Linked DNA regions of Xenopus tropicalis. The protein of the gene in region 2 binds, or shares a complex with, the protein of the main gene of each other region. Links are inferred from orthologs where the notes say so. Each region holds a gene or a part of one and is shown on either strand. Other genes may lie near its edges.

What was found.
Region 1: the proteins of kiaa0895l (region 2) and tuba1b are in contact, whole or in part, in a cryo-EM structure (PDB 7Z6S), measured with the Homo sapiens proteins. The link is inferred for Xenopus tropicalis from reciprocal best matches to the Homo sapiens genes MATCAP1 and TUBA1B. Residues at the interface, in NP_001035805.1 of Homo sapiens: Lys219, Cys220, Trp223, Val226, Arg227, Gly237, Glu238, Val239, Val240, Val241, Gln242, Leu243, Met253, Met254, Val255, Glu256, Asn257, Ser258, Arg259, Pro260, Thr261; in NP_006073.2 of Homo sapiens: Asp345, Trp346, Arg422, Glu423, Ala426, Ala427, Glu429, Lys430, Asp431, Glu433, Glu434, Val435, Gly436, Val437, Asp438, Ser439, Val440, Glu441.

Annotation. Positions count from the first base shown.
Region 1 is NC_030678.2:136,561,261-136,565,606, forward strand, and holds the start of tuba1b (1), read right to left. Parts: upstream 2,816-4,346; 5' UTR 2,740-2,815; coding exon 2,737-2,739; intron 1,079-2,736; exon of another isoform or gene 1,036-1,078; coding exon of another isoform or gene 1,033-1,035; intron 920-1,032; coding exon 697-919; intron 417-696; coding exon 268-416; intron 1-267. UniProt on the Homo sapiens protein: Tubulin is the major constituent of microtubules, protein filaments consisting of alpha- and beta-tubulin heterodimers. Microtubules grow by the addition of GTP-tubulin dimers to the microtubule end, where a stabilizing cap forms.
Region 2 is NC_030680.2:76,349,584-76,353,069, reverse strand, and holds the end of kiaa0895l (uncharacterized protein KIAA0895-like homolog), read left to right. Parts: intron 1-168; coding exon 169-266; intron 267-1,882; coding exon 1,883-2,047; 3' UTR 2,048-2,892; downstream 2,893-3,486. UniProt on the Homo sapiens protein: Tyrosine carboxypeptidase that removes the C-terminal tyrosine residue of alpha-tubulin, thereby regulating microtubule dynamics and function. Also able to remove the C-terminal phenylalanine residue of alpha-tubulin TUBA8.

The DNA.
Region 1 (4,346 bases), on a different chromosome or scaffold from region 2:
GTGAATGTTCTTTGCTACATTATTTCAAACCAAAACTACCCTGCCTTCCACCCATTTAAAAAGGTAAAATGTTTAATAGGCACTTCTGCATGAAATGCACCGGCATGTTTTAGATAGCATAAACATTGCATCTGAAACCAGTTGTTCCAAGAGAAATATAATTAGTACTGTTACAGCAAGTACAATTCAGCCTGCAATCGTAGGCTATGGAGACACCGCGCTAATAAGTTGTTTCTTTTCTGCATTTGTATAAACTTGAATGCTTACCAGTTTGCGGATTCTGTCCAGTACTAGATCAATAATTTCTTTGCCAATTGTATAGTGACCACGGGCATAGTTATTGGCAGCATCCTCCTTTCCGGTAATTAACTGCTCTGGGTGGAACAGCTGACGGTATGTTCCTGTGCGCACCTCATCTGCAAAAGGAAAAAAAAATAAATACAATAAATTATATAGGTCTGTGCTTGTGATGTAATTTGTGCAAAAAATAAAGAAAATTGGCCACTCAATAACCCCTGAGATTAGAAGCCACCCCTGAGTTTTATGACCTGCATAAAAAGCACCCTGCCTTTGGCCTTGTGTCTATTGTGGTCATGGACTTCATACTGACATGAAATATATATTATACCAGGGGTCATATATGTACAATTCTATTATATACAAAGAAACATTAAACAGCCTTGGTTGTTTTCTCACCAATGACAGTGGGTTCCAGGTCAACAAACACAGCTCTGGGGACATGCTTTCCTGCTCCAGTTTCACTGAAAAAGGTGTTGAAGGAGTCGTCCCCTCCTCCAATGGTCTTGTCACTGGGCATCTGCCCATCAGGTTGGATGCCATGTTCCAAACAATACAGTTCCCAGCAGGCATTGCCGATCTGCACACCAGCCTGGCCAACGTGTATAGAGATGCACTCACGCTGTAAACAAAAAAAAAATGTAATACATAGAGAAACACAGTTTTGCTAAGTGAGTACAGAATCTATTCCCAAAATCAGTGATGGAAGGAGACAATCACTAGGGTCCTCAGTACCATGGCTAAAATCAAACAAAATGAAATGCAAGGCGTTGCAATATTCTCTGCTTGGGTTTCCTTTCACACTAATACATGTAGATAACTGGCTTCTGATGTGTTCACAAACACACACACGTATGCAACAAAGACCACAGGTCGTCATTCAGCCACCATCCTAGCAAATACATTTCCTATAAGGAGTTTTTTCTAGATTGCATACTGGGTACCTTAGCCAAGAGCCAAAAAATGGCCATGTATTACCAATAAAGCAGTCCAGCTATTATTTACCAGTAGATTATGTTCTACCGCACTACTTGGACTCTGGAGTCAATAGCCCCCACATCTCTACCCCCTCACATGATTTGTCATGTGAAAGTGCAAACAAGCCTGCTAACCCGACTGCCAGATATGACATAGAAAACCTACCAGCAGTGCAGATTACACACCCATAGCCATCAGCTGACACTACTTCCACGTTTGCAGGCAGAAGCCTACAAGCTGTTCCCACCCCCCACAATCCATGTGTCGGCCCCTTTCAACATGAAAGTAGAACATGTACCGGCTTTCCGCTAAAGCAGGATTACCTCACAAAAGCCGCCCCCTGCCCAACAACTGATTGGCATTGCTGCTTTCCACACCCGGCAGCTGCTGTCTAGTCACTCGGCTTCTGCACATGCCTTCAGGCATTCCGCACAAAAACTGTTATAGTGCAGCTGCAATCTCATAATAGTATAGAAATACATTTGTGGAATGCTAATATGTGAAACATTTGCTAGAACATCTGTCAAAGCCACATCTAGGGAAATGATTATGTGCCGGGATATATCAGCCGCTATGTGAATGAACCATTTCAGCACAAACATACCTAGCCTGCCATTCATTTTACCCTACTCTCCACTGTCCTTTTAAGGTTTAATTTTACTATATCGCATATGTACCCACCTCTACACACATTCAACTCAGGTCCAAGAGAAGGATACTTATTGATTAACCTGTTTTAGGGGGATCTAAAGTTACTGCAAATTGCATCTCTTTCAAGTGTACAGACCCTAGTTAGGCCAGTTAGTTTTATTTTGTTTAACAGGAATATGTTGCCTCCTGCTTTGGTTATGGAAATCACTAACATGGCACTCAAGGTTACATCAATGTCTGATTACAAAGCTCTCTAGCAACGTTTTCCCCTGGGTGACACAGAGGTACTGTCAGTCTCAGGCAGAAGGTCCAGCCTAGTGGGGCTATTATTATTATTATTATAGCCCTAAATCACTTACTCCCTAGATCGCCTAGATATGTGTGAGGCTATTGCGGCAAAGAGTTTGGGGAGCACTAGCCTGTTCTAGTTATCACTGAAAGCAATCTGCACTGACTATGACTCCCCCCCCAGGCAGTATATAAGGCCGGGGCATCGCGCCCACACACACACAGACACACACACAGACACACACACACACACAGACCAGCACAAAGCGCGCCGCTATCAGCGCGGGAAGACCCGTTCCATCCGAGCTTCTCCTCATCCCAATCCCTTCCATTCAGTACTTACGTACAGCCAGCAGCGCTGAAACTAGAACAAGGTATTCCCTCAACTAGAGGAATTCCCTTCCACGTCGTCCTTTGCCCAGCTGTTCATTATTTTTTTTTCAGAAAAAGATGTGGACAAGCTATCATTTTAATGGCTAAGGCCATGGATAAAAAAAAAAAAAAAACATAAAGGCTACTTACCATGGTTAAAAGTCAACGAAGAAACAAGAAAAAAATTTAAAAAATGAAATAAAATACGTTACTTTATCCCACAATGAAGAGTGGATGTAAGTAACAGAATGGGAGGCAGAGGAGCCGACTGTGCCTTTTATACTCCATGGGCGGTGACGCGTTGCTGTATTATGTTAATAAGCTGCGGCTGCTGTGTGATTGGCTGAGCGCCTCAGATACTTGTACGAACGGAGGAGGCGGGAGCTTTTGGTCCTCTTCATCTCGCTGAGTTTTATTGGCGTAAAATGGCCGACTCATCCCTCACGGTTATTTTGGGCCTCTGTAATTCCTGATAATCCTTATTACGGCGGATTACAATATATTCGCAGTGAGGCGCAATAGTTACAAACAACACCGCTGTAATGTCAATTCTGAAACGGCTCCATTTTACTCAAATCCTGATGGGAAAGACCGCGGGAATATGGAACCCGCAGCTCCCCAGCAGTTGGCTAATAGTTAATCTCAGCATCCCACAGAGGAGGATATCCTTGTGTTAAAAGCTCAATGCGTGATAAACTAATGCTTTTTAACTCACGGCTGATTATAAGGGTAGGGTATAAGGAGGGCAGCGCTACATTATCCACATACAATGCTATCTGCTTGGCACAGGGATGTACCACTGCTGGGGGATGCGGGACATTCCAGTCAGGGGACGGGCCGGGATCGGGCGTGCCAACAGGTTCCAGTAGCGGAACTGCAAATCATTGGGGGTTGCAGGCCCAGTAGCTGCTGCGATGGAACGGACGGCGGGTTGCAGGGGCGTCACTGTAGCTACAGGGTTAATAAAAGTGCGCTCTTCCTTTCTCCCCCCACCCCCGTGCTGACATGGTTCGTCTCTATGGGAATATAGTCTAGAATGCGGCAAAGGAAGCTGATCTTGCAGATAGAAAATGCGGCACCTTAAGTAGGACGTTGGCACTGACCCAGTGTAATACTCAGACCTACCCACAGCCCACAGTGTGCGGCAGTCAGGCTTGCCAGCTAGTCCTTTATACTGGGAAATACAAAACCAGCACTCAGACTACATCAGGGATCCCCAACCTTTTTGACCTGTGAGCCATAAAAAGAGTTGGGGAGCAACACAAGCATGAAAAAGGTTCCTGGGGTGCTAAATAAGGGCTGGCATTGGCTATTTGGTAGCCCCTATGTAGACTGGCAGCTTACAGAAGGCTCTGTTTGGCAGTAAACCTGGTTTTCATACGACAAAAACTTGACATAAAGCCCAGATTTCAAAAATTCGCACCTCCTTTAGGGCCACTGGGAGCAACATCCAAAGGGTTGGTGAGCAACATGTTGCCCCTGAGCCACTGGTTGGGGATCACTGGCCTAGACCATAGACATATCCCCCAACTGTCCTGCTTTTCGCAGGACAGTCCCAGTGTTTACAGCGCATCCCGCTGTCCCGGATAGTTCAATGAATGTCCCGCATTACGGAAATGCAGAACATTCATTGAACTATCCAGGACAGCGGGATGCGCTGGCTGGAGCTGAGCACTTCGGCTCATGCTGTGGCTCCTGCTTCTTATTCGGCTCCTCTTATTGCAGCGAAAGGCCCTTTTATAAGGTTGCGCCCGTGCGTA
Region 2 (3,486 bases):
CCTAAATATGGAGTTGTTTCAATTTCCCTGTTTAGGTAACAACAACCCATATTTTGTGATTGTCAATAGGCAAAAAGTATGTTCAGCATAAGTATTATTTATTAAACTCACTTTGAACAAGAGGAGTCAGGAATTTGACAAATAATTACAATTGCGTAATCTCCCCAGGCTGCTTCAGTAAAGACCAAGTCTATCTTGATGGAATACTGCGCATTCTGCGGCACCGACATACCATCGATTTTCGCCTGTTAACTTCCCTTGGAAAGGTATAGTAAGATTTAAACTACCTCATCATGACTATTTTGTCATTCCAATTATAAGCATCACTGAGGTTGATGGCACACAAGGAGATTTGTCATTTGTAGGAAATTTGTGTGAGCAACAAATCTCCTGAAAACACCTTAGCATTTGCGTTAGCATGAATTTCCAGTGGTAAAACACATGAATTGCATTACCACCTGAAACTGCCTTCTCCAGCATCTTTCAGAGGTGATGCAATTCATATGTTTTACTGCCGGCAATTCTTACTGACATCAATGCTAAGGTGTCTCCTTGTGTGCCATCACCCTTACAGTCTGTCTAGTTAAGTGAGGAGCCCTTATTTTAAACAAATTCCTTTCTTTCCCCAACTTTATAATTTCCAGGGGCTATATCTCACATGGTGTTTTTACACATTATTACAAAAATGTGTGTACATCCGCAAGGTATATTTCTAAATTGCTCATGTTTTTTTCTACTTTCCCATAAACCTTTGTGCTACAAACCATGACATCATTATGTCAATCCAAGCTTCATTGTGTACATTACTGTTACAATGTGTACATTACTTAATAACATAATGTGGAATAACTACAAACCATTTATAGTGATGCATAATTAAGCACTGTATATATTGTTAATGCTTTGCACCAAGATGCCTACCGTGAATCAGAACCAAATCATAGTCCTGTTGGCTGGAAAGAACAAAAAAAATAAAAAAAATTTCCCAATTAAAACAATACATATAATGTGTGTTAAACACATGCCTTATACATTGAACTAATGGTAAAGAAAGGGGTATTATCATATAGATTGTAAGCTTTGTGTGCAGGGACCCCATCCTCTTGTTTCTAAACTTGTTGCAACTGCACCTTGTATTTATTTGTATCCAATGCCATACTTTGTATTTATCTATTATTGTAATAACTTCCTGTTTGTTGTATTAATTTCCACTGTACAGTGCTACATAAATAAGTAGCACTTTATAAGTAAAGATATATACAGTATATACTTACATATTGGCTTAAAGTATATATTTCCAAGCTTGGATTGGAAAAATTTTTCGTAAATTGTCGCAACTTTTTCGTAGCCATTACGACTTGCTCATAAATTGTCGCAACTTTTTCATAGCCATTACGACTTGCTTGTATATTGTCGCTACTTTTTCGTATTGAGCGCTCGTAAACGGCGGGCAAACCTTTGCGACTTTGCATGATTTTGGAAGCCTCCCATAGGACTCAATGGCACTCTGCAGCTCCAACCTGGCCCAAGGAAAGTCACGATACTGAAGCTTGAATGAATTCGAAACTTTCGCACTCGGCACGACGGCTACGAAAAAGTCGCTACAATTTACGAGCAAGTAGTAATGGCTACGAAAAAGTCACGACAATTTACGAGCAAGTCATAATGGCTACGAAAAAGTTGCGACAATTTGCGAGCAAGTCGTAATGGCTACGAAAAACTTGCGACAATTTACGAAAAATCGCAAAATACCGATCATTACGAAAAAAACGCATTCGGACTCTTTTCGGACGTTCGTGGATTAGTAAATGTGCCCCTAAGTAATGCCTGACTATTCTACTTTGTTGTTTGATGAGGAGGGTTTTATTGCCTTCTTTCTTAGGTATCCTATGAGGATGTAGATGAGCTACAGAAGTTTGCCGAGCTAGATAATATTCGGATTCCTCACTTTATGCAGGATCTGGAGAAATACCACCATCAACTTCGGCACATCATGGAAACAAACCAGCTTACTGATGAGGAGCTGCAAGCTTTACTACCTAACTGATGAGGGCAGAATGCTGTCTAAAGCAACCCCCAGTCACAGCAAGGGCTAAATGGGTTATGGCTACGGGATTGGAGGAGAATTGTGTTTTACTTACAGTATACAGTATGTATTGGGAAAGTAGTAGGTGTTTCTGTAACAGTGAATTAGAAGATTTGATGCACTGTTATATAGTAAATGGGAGTAATGGGGCACAGTGCACTGTGAAACAGAACTGTTGTGCAGAACAGGAGTAAAAGGAGGACCAGTCTAATGAGCACAATTTCACATTGCTAAAGTGTTAATTAATGCTCATGATTTCATTTCTTAGTGATGTGTGCACGGGGTGAATGATTTAAAAGTAAAGAGTAAAGGCCCAGTTCTACATGCACTCATTAGCTTTTTAGGGCATAGGCTTCTGTGCCCCTTCCCACTGCTAGCAGTGTCCTGTGTCCTATTACATACCTTCTATGATCCTTAGGACATGGCCCTACTTTTTTCATGTTGCATATACTCATGTGCTGCCCATTGTGTACATCAGGGACCGTGCATCCTGAGCCAGTGCATTGTCCCTGTGTGCAACAGAATATAAGTTTTGAGTGCACAAAATGCTTTAACTTAAGTGACTTAGGGATATTGGCCATGGGAAGTAGCACAGCAGGCCCTTACCCTAACAGTATTAAAATGAGGTGACAATTAATCATGCCCTCAGTTTCCTTTAAATGACTGAGTTAATGACTTAACTGCATGTTTTTAGGAATAAAGCAGCAAGTTTTAAAACATCCTATACATTATAAGTAATATTTCTTAATTGTGTGTTTTTGTTTTTCACCTGTAAATATTATTTAATAAAATGTAAAAAGAACCACCTTCTTACATTCCATGTGATCATTGTTTGTAATTTTGTGAATAATGATTTAGGGACCATGTCTTACCTGCACTCTCACAGGCTGGTCCATCATTGAATCAATAGGGCAACATTCATTATAAATAGCAAAAGATATTGCCTTCAGGTAAGGAATTCCTACATGATACTTTTTTTTCCATTTATTGCTTAATAGGAGGAAGAGATGCCGGAACACACACTGAAGGGTTGAACATGATGGATAGTTTCCTTTTTTACTATGTAACTTTGCAAATGCAATTTGCTTTTGTCACAATAGTATTAGTATATACACTGCTCAAAAAAATAAAGGGAACACAAAAATAAGACATCCTAGATCTGAATGAATGAAATATTCTTATTAAATAAGCAGCAGAACGTTCTCCACGGTGTCTCCAGACTCTGTCATGTCTGTCACATGTGCTCAGTGTGAACCTGCTTTCATCTGTGAAGAGCACAGGGTGCCAGTGCCAAATTTGCCAATCTTGGTGTTCTCTGGCAAATGCCAAACGTCCTGCACGATGTTGGGCTGTAAGCACAACCCCCACCTGTGGACGTCGGGCCCTCATGCCACCCTTAT